Linked DNA regions of Tamandua tetradactyla. The protein of the gene in region 1 purifies or fractionates together with the protein of each later gene. This does not show direct contact. Links are inferred from orthologs where the notes say so. Each region holds a gene or a part of one and is shown in the gene's direction. Other genes may lie near its edges. The genes, in order: LYN and ANKRD54.

What was found.
Region 2: the proteins of LYN (region 1) and ANKRD54 purify together in Homo sapiens (affinity purification with mass spectrometry; 3 studies listed by BioGRID and IntAct, with this or other methods). This does not show direct contact. The link is inferred for Tamandua tetradactyla from reciprocal best matches to the Homo sapiens genes LYN and ANKRD54.

What each region holds. Positions count from the first base shown.
Region 1 is NC_135332.1:99,478,316-99,487,516, forward strand, and holds the start of LYN (tyrosine-protein kinase Lyn), read left to right. Parts: upstream 1-4,745; 5' UTR 4,746-4,994; intron 4,995-9,201. UniProt on the Homo sapiens protein: Non-receptor tyrosine-protein kinase that transmits signals from cell surface receptors and plays an important role in the regulation of innate and adaptive immune responses, hematopoiesis, responses to growth factors and cytokines, integrin signaling, but also responses to DNA damage and genotoxic agents.
Region 2 is NC_135333.1:30,207,026-30,216,425, reverse strand, and holds the start of ANKRD54 (ankyrin repeat domain-containing protein 54), read left to right. Parts: upstream 1-5,292; 5' UTR 5,293-5,457; coding exon 5,458-5,782; intron 5,783-5,853; exon of another isoform or gene 5,854-6,029; intron 6,030-7,269; coding exon 7,270-7,317; intron 7,318-9,400. UniProt on the Homo sapiens protein: Plays an important role in regulating intracellular signaling events associated with erythroid terminal differentiation.

The sequences.
Region 1 (9,201 bases):
CTTGATCGTTCCCTTGTAAGGTAAAAGAACAGAGGACTCTGTGAGATTCAGTTTTGTTGCCTTCGGGGACATTGAACTTTTTCTGTGGCATTTCAGCCTAAGAAAACCAAACCTTGGGGAAGCTACTGTGATTTAAGGGTAACAAAGCCAGACTTTGATGACAATCAGCCGGACAGAAAGGGATAGAGTCCAGCCCAAACCACTTCAGCAAGATGAACTTGAGCCAATCATTTGACTTTCTGAGACTGTTTTCTTATCTATAAAATGTAGAAAATGACCCATACTTATAAGTGGTTGTAAGGATGGATTAGGAGACTTTAATAAGGATGCCTCAGAAATTAACCTCTTCCCTTCAACTTTGGGAAGTTTCCCAAACTTTCCCCTGTCAAAGTACTGCTCCAGCCCTCTAGCAAAGGGACTACTCCACTGTCTGGAACACTTGCATACTTTCCCAAAAGCCAGTTGTTTTTATGGCAATTGTGCCTGTTATGGCAATTTCGTGATTGAGTTAAATAGAAACTTTTAAAATGAGTGAAAAAATTGTTTCTGTGCAAAGTTGAAGATTTGGAAACAGTCATGGGTAAAATGGAAGAGCAAATAATTCTGCTGAATTAGGTATGAGTGAAGCTTCAGACTCAGAGATTGAGCAGTGAGATAGCTTTGCAAAGCTATGAATGGCAAACAGAACTGCAGTATCCTGGCCGTGGTTCAGGTAAGAAAGATGATGCAGCGTGTCAATTAGGGATTTAATGCTCAAAGGAAACATAGTGGCCTTACCTGAGAGATTGGCAAGGAAAAGAAATTATCTTATAGCTAAATTCAAGTAAAATGTTTAAGGTACATCGTTTGCCGAAGCTGCCATGACAAATACCACAGACAGCTTGGCTTCAATACCAAGCATTTATTGTCTCACAGTTTTGAAGGCAGAAGTCCAAAATCAAGAAGGCAGCAAGGACATGCTTCTCTTGGAGGTGGTAGAGTTCTGGTGATGGCCATGTTGTTGGTCTCTTCCTATGACTTTCTCTGATTTCTGGCTGCTCTCGCATATTCAATTATGGATATATGGAGTAAGGCCAACCCTGATTCAGCCTTCTATCTTTAAAGAGGAAGATCCTGTTCACAAATGAGTCCACACCTTGACCACCTTAACATATTCAAAGATACTATTTAAAAATAGGTTGACACACAGAGGAAAATGGATTAAGACTTGAACATATCTTTTATGGAATACATGATTCAGTCCCTAGCACAGTTTTTTTTTTTTTTTTTAATATTTTTATGACGTCCTCACTTAAAACAACTTTTTTCATCTGTCCCAAGTATATCAGATGAGAGGGCTTCTATTGTATTTAATTAGGAACACTGATGATAAATTGAAACTCATTTGCTTGGTAAATATACCCCACATTCCCCCAGGCTGTTTGATTGATGCGCTTCCCCAGGGGTTCACAATCCTGGCTGTTCATCGGAACCACCGAGAGTAATTTAAAACTCTGATGCCAGGTCCCACCCCAGAGATTTGGACTTACTGGATCTCGGTCTGGCCTGGGCAAGGGGCTATCTTAGCTCCCCGGAGATTCTTCTGCAGAGCCAGTTGAGCATCCTACTCTATGTTACTGGCTACTTGGGCCATAGGTCTGGGGTTTGCCAGGCCCACATGGTTGTAAGAGTCAGGCAGAGAGTTCCATCAGCATTCCCTCCACTTCTCCCACAAAGCCAACCAGCAAACAACTTGCAGGAGTTCCTGAGTTGGGCCAAGAAATCAGAACCTTTTGAGGGAGGCTCACAGCAGGGTACCAAAAGGACAGGTCACCAGGGAAGGGCCACACTGTGGCCACAGGGGAAGGCTGCAGGACCAGGTGCCTGGGGACCAACACCAAATTGCGCACCAAAATCATTCATCCTGGCTGTAAATGCTGCCAACAGTCATCGGGTGGTGAGGCTCTGTGGTAATTAAATTCAGTTGTCAACTTGGCTAGGTGAAGGTACCTAGTTCTGTGGCTGTGGACATGAGCCAATGGCATGTGAACCTCATCGGTTGCTGATCACATCTGCAGTCAGCTAGGAGGCGTGCCTGCCCCAATGAATGATGTTCGATTTAACTGGCTGGTGCTTAAATGAGAGAGCACAACATAGCACAGCCCAAGAAGCTCAGCATACCTCATCTCTGCACTCACAGCTCAACCCAGGCCTTTGGAGTGCAGAGAGAAATCACCCCGGAGAAAGCTGTTGGAACCCAGAGACCTGGAGAGAAGGCCAGCAGAGACCGCCCTGTGCCTTCCCACACAAGAAAGAACTTCAGTTGAAAGTTAGCTGCCTTTCCTCTGAAGAACTAATGAAATAAATCCCCTTTTATTAAAAGCCAATCTGTCTCTGGTGTGTTGCATTCCAGCAGCTAGCAAACTAGAACAGGCTCCATGATAAAGGACAATGTACTTGAAGGCAGGTATTTTATTTCCCTCCTAGTGGATGATGGATATTCTTATATGAATGGATGATGGATATCCATGGATATAAGAATATCCATCATCCACTAGGAGGGAAATAAAATACCTACATATATATATGTATATGTATATATATGTATAATATATATATATATAAGAATATATAATATATAAAATGGCTAATGCCGTTTTCGCCACTTCCCCCTTCTTTCCTACTAAAGGATGTCCCCCACCTTCACCCTATCCAGGGAGCCTGGGTGGATATGCAATCTCCCTCTGTATGTTCATCCTCCATAATGTACTCAATTTAGAGAACACTGTTGAAACCCATCAGTTACTCAATTAACTGATCAATCCATACTAATAACAATTTTAAAGCAACTAACAGAACATTTGCCAGGTACAGGGGGAAACATAATATAAGAAACAATGTCTTCCTGAGAGGAGGTGACTATTTTCCAGTAGTGGGGGGGGTGATGGCTGACCCATGAAACAAAAGCAAGCAATGCCAAGAAACACCTGAATCAAGCTTAAAATCAATGTTGCACAGTATAAATGCAATAGGTGTCCTGGAAAGAAGGTCACCAATGAGGGCTTTAAATCTAACTTTCCAAGAAATGGAATGTACATGGGACTTCAAAGAAGAAATATGAAGATAGAAAATGGGTAGGGAGTGTTCAGGATGCACAAATATAGCCTGAGAGGTGGGGATGGACGCACCCCCTCCCCCCAGGTAAGAAGAAAGAGCTGAGCTCAGCTAGGATCCTCAAGTACAAGGAATTAGAAGTGTTGGAGCTGGGTGCAAGCCTGCATCTGTCTGAGGATGCTTTCGTCTTCACTCTAAGACACATTTTACCAGAGACGACAGGACATTCCAGGGAGATCAACCAAAGCCTAACATTTGTGTACTCTATTCTTGCTTGCCACATGCCTTTAGCCAAAGAATCTCAAGGACTCACTGATAAGATTCCCTTATGTAAACATTTTAATTTGGGGCCAATATTTTAAGAGGTCATTTTGGAGGAAGTCTAGAAATGAACCCCTGAGTAGTGAATTGCTAAGAATCCATCATAGATTTCATTCAATGTTCAACACCTTCCCAAGGGTGACTCCACCCCTTCTCTTTAGTGGGCAACAAACTGAACTGCCTACCAGTGAACATCAGACCTATCAGCAACTTCTTTTTATTCTTGTAAGAAAGTAGTTTGCAAACCTTAGTACTTTCTTATTAGTAACCAATGACTGCTGTGTAGACTGTGTTTCAGGGTGTTCTACTCTACCACATTCTCCCGTGGGGCCAGTCTCTTGAGAACACCGTGAAGGAGAGAAGGTAGTATGTCCAACATGCTTTGGACTTTGTATGGAGTCCATTAGGCGCTATGTAAGTGTTTGCTATTATAAATGCAAAGATCCATTTCTCCAATATATTTCCTTGAAAATTCTACAATGTAGTGCAATCGAGGGATCCTAAGGAATGAAATACCGCTTATAACATGGACTATGATGGAGACAAATCTCACATCTTGATTTGTAAATGGCATTTGCTGAGGTGAACTCTGAGTTTAGAAAGGCAGTCGTTCTTTCAGCAAACATTGGTTAGGCATCAGCTGTGTGCCAAGGACGGTGGTGCTATATGCTCCCATGCAGACAGTGGCAATGAAATTATCACAGAGCAAGCCCTTGGCGTAAGGCATTTCATCGTCCCGGTAACTGAGCGCTAGGCATTCTTGCCTCCGTTTTCCCTTGAGGAAACTGAGGCTTTGAGGAGCTGAGCAACTCGCCAGTTAATTTAACTTCAGAAACTCCTTCTTCTCCCGCAAAATGTGACGCCTCTGTGTACAGCCTCAAGGGGCTTACTCTGTGTGGAGTAAGATTCACTGAGTCCTGAGCACATCTCATCCTTTTCTAGAGAGCTGCAAATGTTGGGAAGGTTCAGAAAGCGCCCCATCTGTTCCCAGGAGCACCTCGGAGAGTAGGCTGGGGGGAAAGGAAGGAGGCGAGAGGTTCCCTGGATGTGCCCACAAAGCCAGAGTCCCGCTCTCCAAACGAGGTCCCTGAAAGCTGCTTCTGTCTAATTCCAGGGAGAAGTTCTAACCTCCTTAGCTGCGCCCTGGAACACCAGGTTTCTTTGCCTTTAAAGCACTGCGCGACAGCCGCACCAAAGACCCAAACTTTGGGCAGGGGCCAAACGGTCACTTCCCCGCCCTCCGGGAGCAGTATGCAAATCCGAGCACCAGGAAGTCCCTGGGACCTCTCGGCCAAGCCCAGCGACAGCCAGTTCCTCTGCCGCCGCGCCGGGCCTCGCAGCCGCTCACTCCCCGCCGTGGCGCCTCAGGGCCAGACGCGCCGTAGTTTTCAGCCCGCAGTACCGGGGTCCGGCGTCATCTCCGCCAGACCCGCGCGCCCCTCTCCCGCCTCCTCGCCCCGGCCCGCCGCCCTCCCCACGCGGGCCGGGCCGGGCCGCCCCGTCGCGTCCCCGCTCCGCGGCCGGGTCACCGTGGAGTTCCGCCGCTGCCGCTGCAGCCTCGCAACTTGCACCGCGAGCAGGTGAGTACACCGCAAGGGAATCGCGGGCGTGGGCAGCGAAGAGGGCCACGGGAGTGGGGCCCTGCCGGTGAGGGGCCCCGAGATGCCGTCAATCTGTGGGTGGTGTGGCCCGGCGGGGATCCAGTACGTGGGCGGGCTCTCGGCAGGTGTCTTGCAGCCGAGCAGCGTAGGGGCGTGGTGGGAGGTCCTGCGCGCAGGGTGGGCGCGCGCACCGGGCATGGGGGTGGAGGGGGCGCTTGCTGTCCCCTGTCCAGCCACTATCTGCGCGCCGCAAGCGTCTCCTCCTCTCCACGAGGGCCGGGCGCGCGCGTGGGACCCTGGCGGGGACTTCTCGGATGCCGTGATCGGGTTTCCCCGCTGGGTCCCGGGTCTCTAAAGGTAAGAGGAGAGCCTCGACCTGCCCGCCCCCTCCCAGGCCGCCTGGGCAGTTGCTTCCTTGGTGACTCCGGGGAGGAGCGGGACGTCCAGGGGCTTCTGCGGAGCTACTGCGCGCCCTCCCACTGAACCGATGCCTCTCCGCCTGCAGATGGGCAGCCCCATGCCTCGTTAGGGAGGAAGCGGATGGTTATTTTAAGAATTCAGGGGTTGCTTTCCTCGCCTTGGGGGAAGGGTGTAAGCATCGGTTCCTACTGTCGTTTGTTATCTTGGCGGACTGTCGGAGGCTTTGCATCTGGAGGGGCCCATGTCATAGCCGCGTGGTCCAGTGGAATTTCTTTGGATATCCGGAGTGCGAGTCTTAATTATCCCAAATCCTCCCAACTTCTTTGCCATCTCAGAAGCCTGGAATGCGGGCGTTGCAGTTTCCTAGCTGTGGGTGAACTGGAGTCATTATTGAAATTCCCTGTTGGTTTCCTCATCTGTCAGAGGAAACCATCTACCGCCTGAACTATGGAGCATAAAGCCCCTCGTACCCAGTATGCATTCCATAAGGTGGCATGGTTATTACTACTTATTGGAAATAAATATGTCTGTAAAAATGAGGCTCTTTGGATCTTTACAGTTTGGCGGTTTTAAACCAAGGTCTCTTCCGATGTACCCATCATCTTCCATGCTGAGACTTTGCTCTCCCAAAATATTTGCTTAAAACAATAAAGGATTTGCTGTCCCAATGCAGGAACCAGGAATCTGATGCTCTAAGAACTAGCCAGTAAAGAAGGCTGACTTAGCTTGTTGTTTGTTGTTTGCCCCCAGCAGAGGTCATGTACAGGAGGCAAGGAAGCTCTTCCTGTACTGTCAGCAGCTAAAGCAGGGCCAACTCCTAGCAGGCACTGGGAGAGTAAAGGAGCTTACTAAGGACTCAAGTCCATTCTAAGGTGTACTTTGCTGGGGAAGGGCGAGAATCAGTCAGTGCCTTGGTTTTCACTGGGCACTATGTGTTTTGAGGCTTGAAGAAAAGTAATTTTATGACTGGGGCCCTTAATGGCTGATCCTCTTTGGATGTAGGGTGGGGATCTCTCTTTCTGGTTAAAGGGTAGAGGGGAGCTGTTATAAATGAAAAGAAAACTGGAGCCAGGAAACTGAGATTTGGTCTCATCCAGCGTTGCTGGAACTGTGATTTGGGATAAATAGGTTGTGTCATTAATTAGCCAACATTTCCCTCATGGTGGGAACCAAAGCCACCTCATGGTTTGTTTTCATGTGGAAGCTCCATGGAAGGAGGAGTGACATTTGTTTTGTCCTGGTGCCCTGCACACATTGGGTACACAATAGGGATGGCTTGAAAGAAGGAATGAAGGGCCTGCCTCAAGCAAGGTCAAGGACACATGGGGACGGGTGAATAGGCTGCTCCTTAAGGCATCCTTAGTCTCTTGGCCCTTTCTGTCTTGTTTCTAAAATGGGAATTTGGGGGACCTGTTGACTCTAAGTTACCTCAAATTCTACTACAAGTGGGAATCTCTACTCAGGGCTCGTCTCTCTTGATCCACCAGAAGGAAGGTCTTGATTTGGGGGTGTGTCCTGCAAAGGTGGGGTTATCCAGTCAAAAAGACCCACTTGATCTTGTAGTCATTGATATTCCAAAGGTGTGTGGAGACTTTGTCGTGTGCCCCCACCTCCACCATCTCCAGTGGCTCCCTTTAAGCAGCAAAGTGGTTCAACAGTTTTATGACTTCCAAGTCGTATATATGTTTGTATTCTATATATGTATGTATTCCATGAAGTGCATTTTGTATTAAAAAATAAATCATCAAAACATTTGGGGTTCCATTTGGTTCAGGTTAATATACAGAACCAAATGAAAACATATTATTTGTTAACAAACTTACATGAATTTTAAATCTGTGCACAGAGAATACAACGTGTACATTCACACATCCTGGAACACTTAGGCTCATGGGTACTGATTATCTCAATTGCCTCCATATACTCAGTATTAGGATTAATATTAAAGGCTCACGGACAGTATCGGTCGTGACATTGGTTAGTGACCTGTCTGACAACAGCGCTGCATCTCAGACCTCTCCTTAGTGATGATGGGCTAACCCTTTCGCCTGCCAGGGGCTCTGAAGCTTCCTGGAGTTCGGTTTCACTTGAACATTTCCTGGCCCCTGCTGGACAGGGAGATTGTGGGTCAGGATCACAGGCCTGGTTCAGTGGCACGGAATCAAGTGATAGAAACGTCTTCTGGCCCCAACGTTAGAGCTTTTCCCACTTGCTTACCTTTAGACTCCGAAGTAAGGACTCAGTAACTTAAAAACAAAGAGGAACTAACTTATCTTTAATAAGTGTTTTAAAAAAATTATGCAGTAACATGTACAACAGTGTAAGCATTTTCAAGGCAGACTTGAAATCTAGGTGATTTCTTCTATTGACTGGTAATTATCGAAACAAGCAGCTAATGCCAAGACCCACAACAGACAGTTCCATGCATGAGGATGCTCAGCTGTCTTTTGGAGAAGACTTTCTGTGCCTTTGGCTCTGCTTCCTGTTTGCGGGGCAGGGAGCTTTGATTATGGCTAAAAGTTCATTATCTTGCTTTTGTAGGAGCAGCTCTTGGACTGCTTGGTTGGCCGAAGCCATATTTTGCAATTTTGCCTTCAAACCTTTACTAGAAATTCCTCCTTCATGGACCTGAGATCGTTATGGGTGGGTATAATACCAGGAAGACCATGATGTGAAGTGAAAAATATAAAGAACCTAGGGCTCATAGAATGCACATGAAAACACGCACTGTTTTCTGAGCATCTGCTCCCCATAAGGTGCAGTTCTGAGCCCATAGCCCTTCCACAAGACAAGGATAAGGAAGAGGAAGTTTTGTTTGTTTGTTTTTTCAGTCAGAAATATTGAAAGATTTCTTGCAGCTGCCTTGTTTCCTGGCATTTAAATTGTGAAACTTTGAGTTCACTCTATCATTATTTCTGAAATTTATTTTGAGTTAGTTCCCAATTTGGGACAAAGCCCAACTGTAGAAAATGTTATATGAAAATCTGCCAGTTGAAGAATTGGAAAATTTGGGATAGGTTAGTTTAAAGATTTGGACCTTTATTTAGATATCCTTTGGGTTAATTTAACTGGAAGGGCTCTCTTCAAAGATAGAACAGCAAGTTTCATAACTATGTGGGATAATGTGTTTGAAAGGCTCAGCTGAGCTGACAAGTGTCAAGGGGTATAAGTTTTTTATTTTATTTTATTTTTTTACTTTCTTTAATTGTATCATATAGCATACATATAAAGCAAGGAAAGAAAAAACCAATAGTTTTCAAAGCACTCTTCAACAAATAGTTACAGGACAGAACTCAGAGTTTGTCATGGGCTGCCATACCATCATCTCAGATTTTTCCTTCTAGCGGCTCCAGAATATAGGAGGCTAGAGGTATAAGCTTTTGAGCTTTTTCGTTTTGATCTTTTTCTTCATTGTTGGTCTGTACTTTCCATTTTCCCTTATTACTGAATAAGCTGTCAGCATTCCTTTTTTTACCATGGAGCTATTTCTTGAAAGTTTGTATTTATCTTTAGGATATAGTTTTCATTTGTATAGAACTCTTCCAAAGTGTTTATTTCATTGTACTTTATTCATCCTCAGTATATTTCCAATCTCCTTTCTCTAACTCCCCTCTTCAACTCTTTCCCCACTGTCTTCTAAAGCCTATTTATCATTTATTAATGTCTTCTTCAAACCATGAATTAAACTTGATGAGTTGACCTTTTGGGGGAGGAGGATATAGGTTTGTCTTATTATAACTGCATTAATTGCTCATAATGCTCAGAT
Region 2 (9,400 bases), on another chromosome or scaffold:
CACTAGCATTTCAATCTACTAAATTTATTTTGACATTTGTTCCCCTTATTATTTATTTATTGTTTATCCATATGTTTTACTCATCTGTCCATAAAGTAGATAAAAGAAGCATCAGACACAAGGTTTTCACAATCATACAGTCACATTGCAAAAGCTGTATCATTATACAATCTTCTTCAAGAAATATGGCTACTGGAACACAGCTCTACATTTTCAGGCAGTTCCCTCCAGCCTCTCTATTACATCTTGACTAACAAGGTGATACCTATTTAATGAGTAAGAATAACCTCCAGGATAACCTCTCCACTCTGGAGTCTCTCAGTCATTGACATTTTGTCTCATTTCTCTCTTCCCCCTTTTGGAAGAGAAGGTTTTCTCAATCCCTTCCTGCTGAGTTCCAGCTCATTCTAGGATTTCCTAACTGCATCTTAACTTGTATTCTTTCTTTCATCATAAACATTTAAGGTTCTTGTCCTTGCCCACAAATATTCACTCATTCTAAAAACACAAGGCCCTCTCTCTGTAATCTAAAAGAACAATTCTTGAATTGTTAAAAATATAATTCTCATGTTTATATCTTTTTCATTAATTTTATTTTATAATTTCCAAGATTTGAAAACATTCCATATAGCAACGACTCCTGCTTCTACCCTCCCCGTAGCCTGGTAACCCTTAATCTTCTTTCTGTTCTCTGCTATTTCTAAATATTTCATATAAGTGAAATCACAATATTTGTCCTCATGTGCCTTGCTTATTTTGCTGAGCATAATGCTGTCAAGGTCTGTCCATGTCATAGCGTGTCTCAGAATTTCATTCCTTCTTACAGCTGAATAATACTCCGTTGTAGGTATGTACCATATTTTATTTATCCATTCTTCTATTAATGGACACTGGGTTGTTTCTGCCTTTTGGCTATAGTGAATACTGCTGCTGTGAACATTAGTGTATGAATATCTGTTTAAGTCCCTGTTTTCAATGAACATTAGTGTACGAATATCTGTTTAAGTCCCTGTTTTCAATTTCCTTGGGTATATACCTCGGAGTGGAATTTGCCAAATCATATACCAATTCTCCATTTAACTTTTTGAGGAAATGCCATACTGCTTTCTACAGTGACAGTACCATTTTACCTTCCCATCATTTTCTATATTTTGATTGGGTTGGTAGGTACAGGAGTGTATATATTTGTCAAAAATCATTGACCTGAACACTTAAAATGTGAAGGTGTTATCATATGTATGTATTTTATGCTTGAATAAATTTGACTTTTCAATTATAAGTAAAATTGACAACAAACGAACCAAAAATTATTTTAGAACTTATATGATAGACAAAAAATATATACTCTTAATAAATTAAAATATAATTCTATCACAAATAGAGAGTGTGCACATAGTAGAGCTTATTTAATCCTTAAAGGAACCAACAGTGTGACAGAGCTGGCTCGAAAAGAATTTGAGGATGGATAGTTATTGAGCAAAGAAAAGCTGTTAGATTGCTAAGTTAGATCCAAACTTAAATCATGGTCTAAGGGCAATAAAATTGTAAACATTGGGATTATCTTCTCCGTTGGAAAAATAAACATCATTGTACCTTATCCATTTTCTTCAAGTTAACCTCTAACTTTACGAAATTCTAAGACAATTCTTGGTCTAAATCAAGTGTTAATCAAAGTTAAGTTTTCCCCAGAGAGTCTGATGTCTCTTACCTGGCCTTATTAAAAAATGCTCTAGCACAATATTAAAAATGCTCAAGCCCAATATTTAAAATCACAGGATCCCCATTCGCTATATTTTCAGATATTAGGTAATTTCCCCACACACTAGTTTTCATTATACTACTTTTAATAAAGACAGAACTATTTTAATTTCCTGTTAACTCTACTTAAAAACAACAGCCAAGTATGACAATAAATAGCAATTGTCTTCAGCCTCGGCGTGGCAATAATAGGGAGTAGTGGGGACTCTAGCAAACCAGCGCACCATGCCCACTCAAAGGGGAGAGTTGCTATGCAGCTCCAGCAACTGTTGCCAAGTAGGAAAGCAGGCCTTGCTTTGCCAGAGATTCCCATTTCTAAGAGAACCTGTAAGTCAATATTTTTTTCTGTAAAAGCTATCAATCTTTAAATGCTGACAAGCAGTTCAAATTTCTGAACAGGTCGATAGGGTTTGGGAAAGAAAGAATGAAAGGAAACTCAACCAGCTATTTCTAGCCTAAGGGGCCAAAGATGTCAATATCTGACCTAAAAATAACCCTGTCAGATGGTAAGACTGAGGCCCAGAGAGGAAGACCTTGCCCAAGTCACAAAGTGGCAGATTGGACTTGGATTCCCAGGCAGGCAAAGACTTTTTTTTTTATTTGAGGTTATTATTTATTACCTATTAAATAATGCAATTTTTATTGGTAGGGTAGCTAGGGTTTGAAACTGGTTCTAATGTTTTTTTTTAATTTATTAATTAAAAAATTAAGAAACAAAATAAAACATCAACATACATAATTCACATCATCACTTAGTTGCATATTCATCATTTCTTAGAACATTTGCATTAATTCAGAAAAAGAAATTAAAAGACAATAGAAAAAGAAATAAAGCGAACACAGAAAAGAAAAAAAAAGATTATACCTACTATACCCTTTACCCCTCGCTTTCATTGATCACTAGCATTTCAAACTAAATTTATTTTAGCATTTGTTCCCCCTATTATTTATTTTTGTTCCATATGTTCTACTCCTTTGTTCACAAGGTAGCTAAAAGGAGCATCAGACACAAGGTTTTCACAATCACACAGTCACATTGTGAAAGCTGTATCATTATTCAATCATCCTCAAGAGACCTGGCTACTGGAACACAGCTCTACATATTCAGGCAGTTCCCTCCAGCCTCTCCATTACATCTTGAATAACAAGATGATATCTACTTGATGCATAAGAATAACCTCCAGGATAACCTCTCGACTCTGTTTGGAATCTCTCAGCCATTGACACTTTGTCTCATTTCCCTCTTCCCCCTTTTGGTCGAGGTTTTCTCAATCCCTTGATGCTAAATCTCAGCTCATTCTAGGGTTTTTTTCAATCCCTTGATGCTGAGTCTCAGCTTATTCCAAGATCTCTGTCCCTCGTTGCCAGGGAGGCCCACAAGACAATGTTACTGGTATTTTCTTTGTCTCCTATTAGGTGCTTTATGTTTTATTTGCTGACTGACCAAATATAAATGGCTCGTGTGTGAATGAATGCTTGCAACACCCTCAGGGTCAAGTTCCAGCCAGTGTGATGTGCCCACTGTCATGTAGGATTTGTATGGTCTTAGCCAGCATCCTACCCTTATTAGTACATAAGGTACATGTACATAACGTTTGTTCCTTTCCTCTGTTTCCTTCTAGCTACAAATAGGGTTGGATTTTGTCTTTACTGATTATGGGGCAGAGGAGAGTTCAAGTTCCAGTCTGAAACTCTGAGGCTAATGAACGGAATCCACACTCAAACACAGCTCATTCTTCCCATTCCAACATTCAAGTAATTCCTGCAACAGATGGAGGGCTGGGCCATGCGGTTTATGCCTCCACAAATTTGACTTTAAATTAGAAGTAAAATTAACAACCACCTCTGTTTGTTCAGGGATCCTGCTTAGATTCAAAGTTTTCTGCTGAAGCAAACATCTTGGTAGGCAAGATGGTGTGGAGATCAATCTTTCTCCTCTTGATAGGAGAAAGAAAACAGTTCCAAAAATAATTGGATCCAAATTAGGAAGGGTCTTAACTACCAGCATAAAGGGTTTAGACTTCAACCTGAACTCAGTGGGCAAACAAGTTTCTAGGAACTTGAAGAGATTTGCCAATTTAGGCAGCATAGATACTTGTCATTTGAGATTCTAAGAAGAGAGAATGGAGGGAAGACTGTTTTGAAGGTCATTACTTGGAAAAAGAGGAGGAATAATAAAGTTTTTTTCAGGGGTACATTCATCAGGAGTGAGGTGTAAATGCTCAGATATCACTTAGACTTCCTGGAGTCAGGTTTCCTGCAGGCTCTTCATTTATGAAAGAGGGGAGTGTGGCCTTGGGCGGTGGTCTGGATTCAAATGCCACTTTTAACTGTCTTGCTCTGTACCCTTGTACAGTTCACATAATATTTCAGGGCCTCAGTTTTCTGATCTGCAAAGTGGATATAATAATATCTAAATGTATATCAAGCCCTTGGTAAATGGTATATGTTCAATAATATTTGTTTCTTGCCTGTTTCCTTCTAGCTACAAGTGGAGTTGGCATGTGTCCTTACTTGTTATCGGACAGAGGAGGAGAGTTCAAATATACTATTTTTCTACAATGATAATTCTCATAACGGTGTCCCGCAGACACTACAAAATCTGGAAGTGCTTTTTTCAACTGTCAGGAAGATTACTTTTTAATTGGGTTGGCTGACAGTGAGAGGGTTTATGTGGTGGGAAAAGTCCTTGACCCAAGAACGCTGGGCATCCGTGAACAGGCCACTTGTCTCTGTGATTTTGTAGTGGGGCGCACCCTTACAATTTCAGTTCTTCATCTATAAAATAGGGAGGTTCCTCCTTGCCCACCTTACAGAAGTGTTTGCGGGGCACAAAGACGTGAGAATTCTTCCAAAACAGTAATGGTAAATTCACGGTTATCTGTCTGGTTGCAGAACACTTCCTTGCTCCCGGATTTGTCCCTGGGGACCGTGAGCAGCTCAGTGGGCACCAAGTCTGATCCTGTGTCCTGGACGTGCAGCCGCTCTGTGACCGACTCTCGGACTGAAGTGTCGCTGTAGTGTCATTACGTTAATTATAACGCTTTGTAAATCATTAGTGATCAACGCGCGGGGGGGGGGGGCGAGAGACCGCAGACTAAAGAGAATCTATCACCCTTAGAAACTATTACTCCACAGCCCCACATTTTGACATACTTTCACTTTCCTTCTTGGACCACGCATTGGGAAGAAGTTCTTTTTCTACGTTCACACTCCCTCCCTCCCCGCCTTCTTATCTTTCTTTGGTGAATGGCTGCTGCTCATCTAAATGTAATTGGCTCCAGCCCCTTCCCACTGTCTTTCCCATAATCCGACGGGGGAAAATTGAAGAAAAAAAAAAGAATGTCTTAGACTCTGCTGTTTTATTGGCTCCGGTAGCGACGTACGTACGCGTGGACCGTGGGCACTTCAAATTTTTTATTGGTTTCTTTGTCCGCCAGTCACAGTGCCAGAAACACTGTCCAATCCTTTCGTGCGTACTATGCCCTCCCTTCCCGATTGGCTGTCAGGGTTTAGGCTGGAAGGGCTATCATTGGTCCGGAAGACCCGAGCTCGTCCCCCGCTGAGGTGCGGTAGTTGCAGGCCGGGCCCGGTCTTCTGGCTCACTCGCTGACAGCGCGGCTTACGGCGGAGGGAAGTGGGTCGGTTGGTCTGTCGGGAACGAGGCTCCCGCGGCTAGGCCCGCGCAGAACCGTTACCATGGCAGCAGCCGCAGGGGGCGCGGAAGATGAGCCGCGCTCGGGCAGATCGAGCTCGGATGGCGAGTGTGCGGTAGCCCCGGAGCCTCTGACTGGTCCCGATGGCCTCTTCTGCTTCGCCGACTTCGGGGCGGCGCTGGGCGGCAGCCCGGGCCTCCCAAGTCGGTCGTCCAGCGGGGCCCAGTCCCCGCTGCGCTACCTGCACGTCCTGTGGCAGCAAGACGCGGAGCCTCGCGACGAGCTGTGCTGCAAGATGCCCGCCGGCCGGCTGAGGCGCGCCGCCAGGCCCCACCGCCGGCTCGGGCCCACCGGCAGGGAAGTCTACGGTGAGGAGCGGAGCGGGCTGGCGGAGCGCGAGGCAGGCGGCCCGTCCATGCCCCCCGCCCCTCCCCGGTACCCGGGACCCTGGCCTTCCCCGTCACTCGCAGCCTGGAACTCCGGGACGCCCGGGCTAAGGCCAGAATGACCCTAGCGCCTCCTTTCAATAACTGTTATTATAGTTGCTAAGGACCACGAATTTTTTTTTTTAATGTCTTACTTCTCCTAGCCTGTCATCACTGACCTTCACACTTGGTAGTTCCTAAGTAGAAACTTTCATGACCCCAAGTATTTATTAGTGGGCAATAAAAGGGAATACCAGAGAATACTTTTATTATCAGAGAGGGGAGGCCAGAGCTCGTAACCAAGTGGTACCCAGTTGTTTAGATGTGCAGACCTGGGATGGACTCCTCTACCTTAGGCAAACTGTTGAGCCTTTCAGCCTTAGTGTTCTCATTTGTACAGTGTGTACAATACCTGCTTTACAGGGCTATTGTGAGAGTTCAGTTAAATAATGAATGTATAACCATTAGACCTCCTTTGCTGTGTTCCAGACACTGTTTTGGGTGATATGGGGTAATTTTTAATTCTCACAGTAATTCTTTGAGATCCAGATATTGTTCCCATTTTATTGAAGAGGAAACCAAGGCACAGTGACATTGTTTTGCTCCAGGTCCTTAGCCAGAAAGAGGCTGGGCTGGTATTAGAACCCTGGTCTGCTTGACTCTAAAACTCCTACTTTGCTGTATATTTACCATACTAGCTTTTACATTTAATGGCTGACAGGGAAACCAAGACTCTGAAAGATTAAGAATGGGGCTTCTTGTGTCCCCTTTAGGACTAATCTGTGATTCCACCGATATTTTAGGGGTCTTGTGAAGATTAATTGAGAATTTGAAAGTTCTGTAAAACCATAAAGTGCTATAGGAATGTAAGGAATTTTTAACCACTTCCCTGATGACAAAGCTATTGCTTTCTACTAGCCTCTAAATAGAGTTGGTGTCAAGGGAGGGGAAAAATGCTTTTGCTTAAGAATGACCAAGTTTAGGTAAGTCATTTGGGAGTGACCTATTTTGGAGGAAGTATAATAAGAAGATCTGTGTAACTAGCTCAGAAAGAGCTTCTAAGTAAATTATCTATGTCATTTCATCTTTCCAACAATTCAAGACTGGCAGGGTCGAACTTAACCTTGTTTTAGAGATGATGGACCTGAGACCCAGAAGGGTTAACTAAACTTGCCCAAGTTCACCTCACTACTATAAATGGCAGAGCCAAGATCCAGAGGCCTTGGAGGATTTGCCAAGCATGCGGCCTCTACCCTAGTGCCACATTTCAAGTTTCTCCTTGTTCCCAGTGTAGTATCTCTTGTAGCTAGCAGTTTTCTTCCCTTTAGGTGCTATTATGGCTGAAGAGTGGATTATCTCCCATCCACTTTCTGCTTCATCACACCTGTTTTGTTTTTTTTTTAACTGGAATTCCTTTACTCTTGTCATAGCTCTGAAGAGGCTCCGGGACTCAGCCAATGCCAATGACGTGGAAACAGGTGAGTGTGCACATTGGGCCTAGCTCCAAGGACCTGTGGACTGGTTTGGGGAAGGAAAAATCCAATTAACACATTACCTGAGAAGAGAGTGCTTTAATTCAGCCTACCAGGTTACCCCTAACTCGAGGCTCACTTTGTTTACTGTGTAACTTTGCAGTCAACTTGTAGAAGGTGAATCTGGCTTAGATGCTTAGTCCCTTATGCTCCCCTATTACCCTGAACTTCCTGATGTCATATAATTTATCACCGCTGGGCTCATTGTCTGCTTTTACACCCCTGGCTCCCAGCGCAGTCCTCCGCAGAGAGTTATTGCTCATTTTTCAACCTCTGCGTTGGGAATGAACATTCAGCTTTAACTGCCAGGGGTCGGGTAGGCAGTGCCACCACCTTTAGCCTACTCACTGAGGCTTAATGGTAGTTGGGTCGGTCCCTGGTTCTCAAACTTCAGTTGACAGAGCATTTGAAAAGCATAGGTGGAGCTCATAGCAGAACACCACTGTTGTCTGGTTTTTTTTTTTATTATTGCTCTCCAGCATCTGCCAGCTGACAAGGCAGTAGCAACATCAAAGATGCAAAGAAAATTTATAGGAAAACATTTTTTAATTTTATCCACTAATATAATTCCCTCTGTGACTTGGGGAAAGTGATATATTCGTTTCCTATTGCTGCTGTAACAAATTGCCACAAACTTAGGAACTTAAAACAATGCATTTCTTATCTTAGAATTCTGTACGTCAGAAATCCAGCACGGGTCCCACTGAGCTAAAATCAAGGTGTCTGCAGAGCTGCATTCCTTTCTGGAGGCTCAAGGGAAAAATGTTTTCCTGCCATTTCCAGCTTGTCCTAACTACCCACGTTCCTTGCTTGTATTCCTCTTCAAATCCAGTCACAGTAGGCTGAGCCCTTCTCATGCCATCTTTCTGGTTCTGGCAGCAGAGACAGTTTCTCCAGTTTTAGGGACTCTGTGATTAGATTGGGCTCACCTAGAGAATTCAGAATAATCTTCCTATCTCCAGGTCCTTAACCTTCATCACATCTGCAAAGTTCCTTTTGTCATATAAGGTAACATAATCACAGATTCTGGGAGTTAGGGCATGGACATCTTTGGGGCCACTATTCTGCCTACCATAAATGGACATCATTCTGTTTTGATGGTGGGGAGCTATGCTCACGTAAAATCTGAGCATAGACTGAAGGCCATGGGCTAGAAGAGCTCACTGAGAGCAGGTGTGGAAGGAGGTCATGGGTGTTGCCCCACGGGCCCTTGAGATGGTTCCCCTATCCTGCCGTAGCAGCAGTGAACGTGCCCTAAACTGGAGAGATTTTTAACTCTTTTCACTGTTTTCTATGAACATTTTGGAATGTTTGGGAAGCAACTTAGATAGCTTTTCAAGAAAGAGGAAGAAGAATTTTCTTTTTAATTTTTTAAAAAATTATTATTTTTTTTAACAAACAAATACTTCCCCTTTCCCCAGCCTTTCAGCCCTTGGTAACCTCTAATCTGTTTTCTGTCTCTGTGAATTTGCTATATTTCTAGCCATCTCTTATAAGTGATACCATACAATTGTTTGTCCTTATTATCTCGCTTATTTCACCGAGCATAATGATTTTAAGGTTCTTCCATGTCTCATAACTTCAAGTTTACTTATGACTGAATAATAGTCTATTGTAGATATACACCATATTTTGTTTATCTGTTCATCTGTGAAGGATGTTTGGGTTTTTCTAGCTTTTGGCTATTGTGAATAAGGCTACTATAAACATTGGTTTACAAGATCTGTTTGTGACCCTGTTTTCACTCTCTTTGGTTATATACCTAAAGGTGGGAGTGCCAGGTCAAATGGTAGTTCTATATTTAAAAGCCATATTGCTTTCCAGTGTTATTTGCTGTTCCCACCAATAACGCACTAGAGTTAAGCAGTCTCTTTTTAGTATCTCTAGTGTATGGCCAGGGAATATGTTTAATTGTGCCCACCTTCCACAGAAAGTCTAGTTTGTCTTGAATAAGTATTCACACAGTGGTTTTATTTTTTTGTTAGAAATACTGTAATTTTCTCTTTAAAGCCTCTGACACCCCCATCTT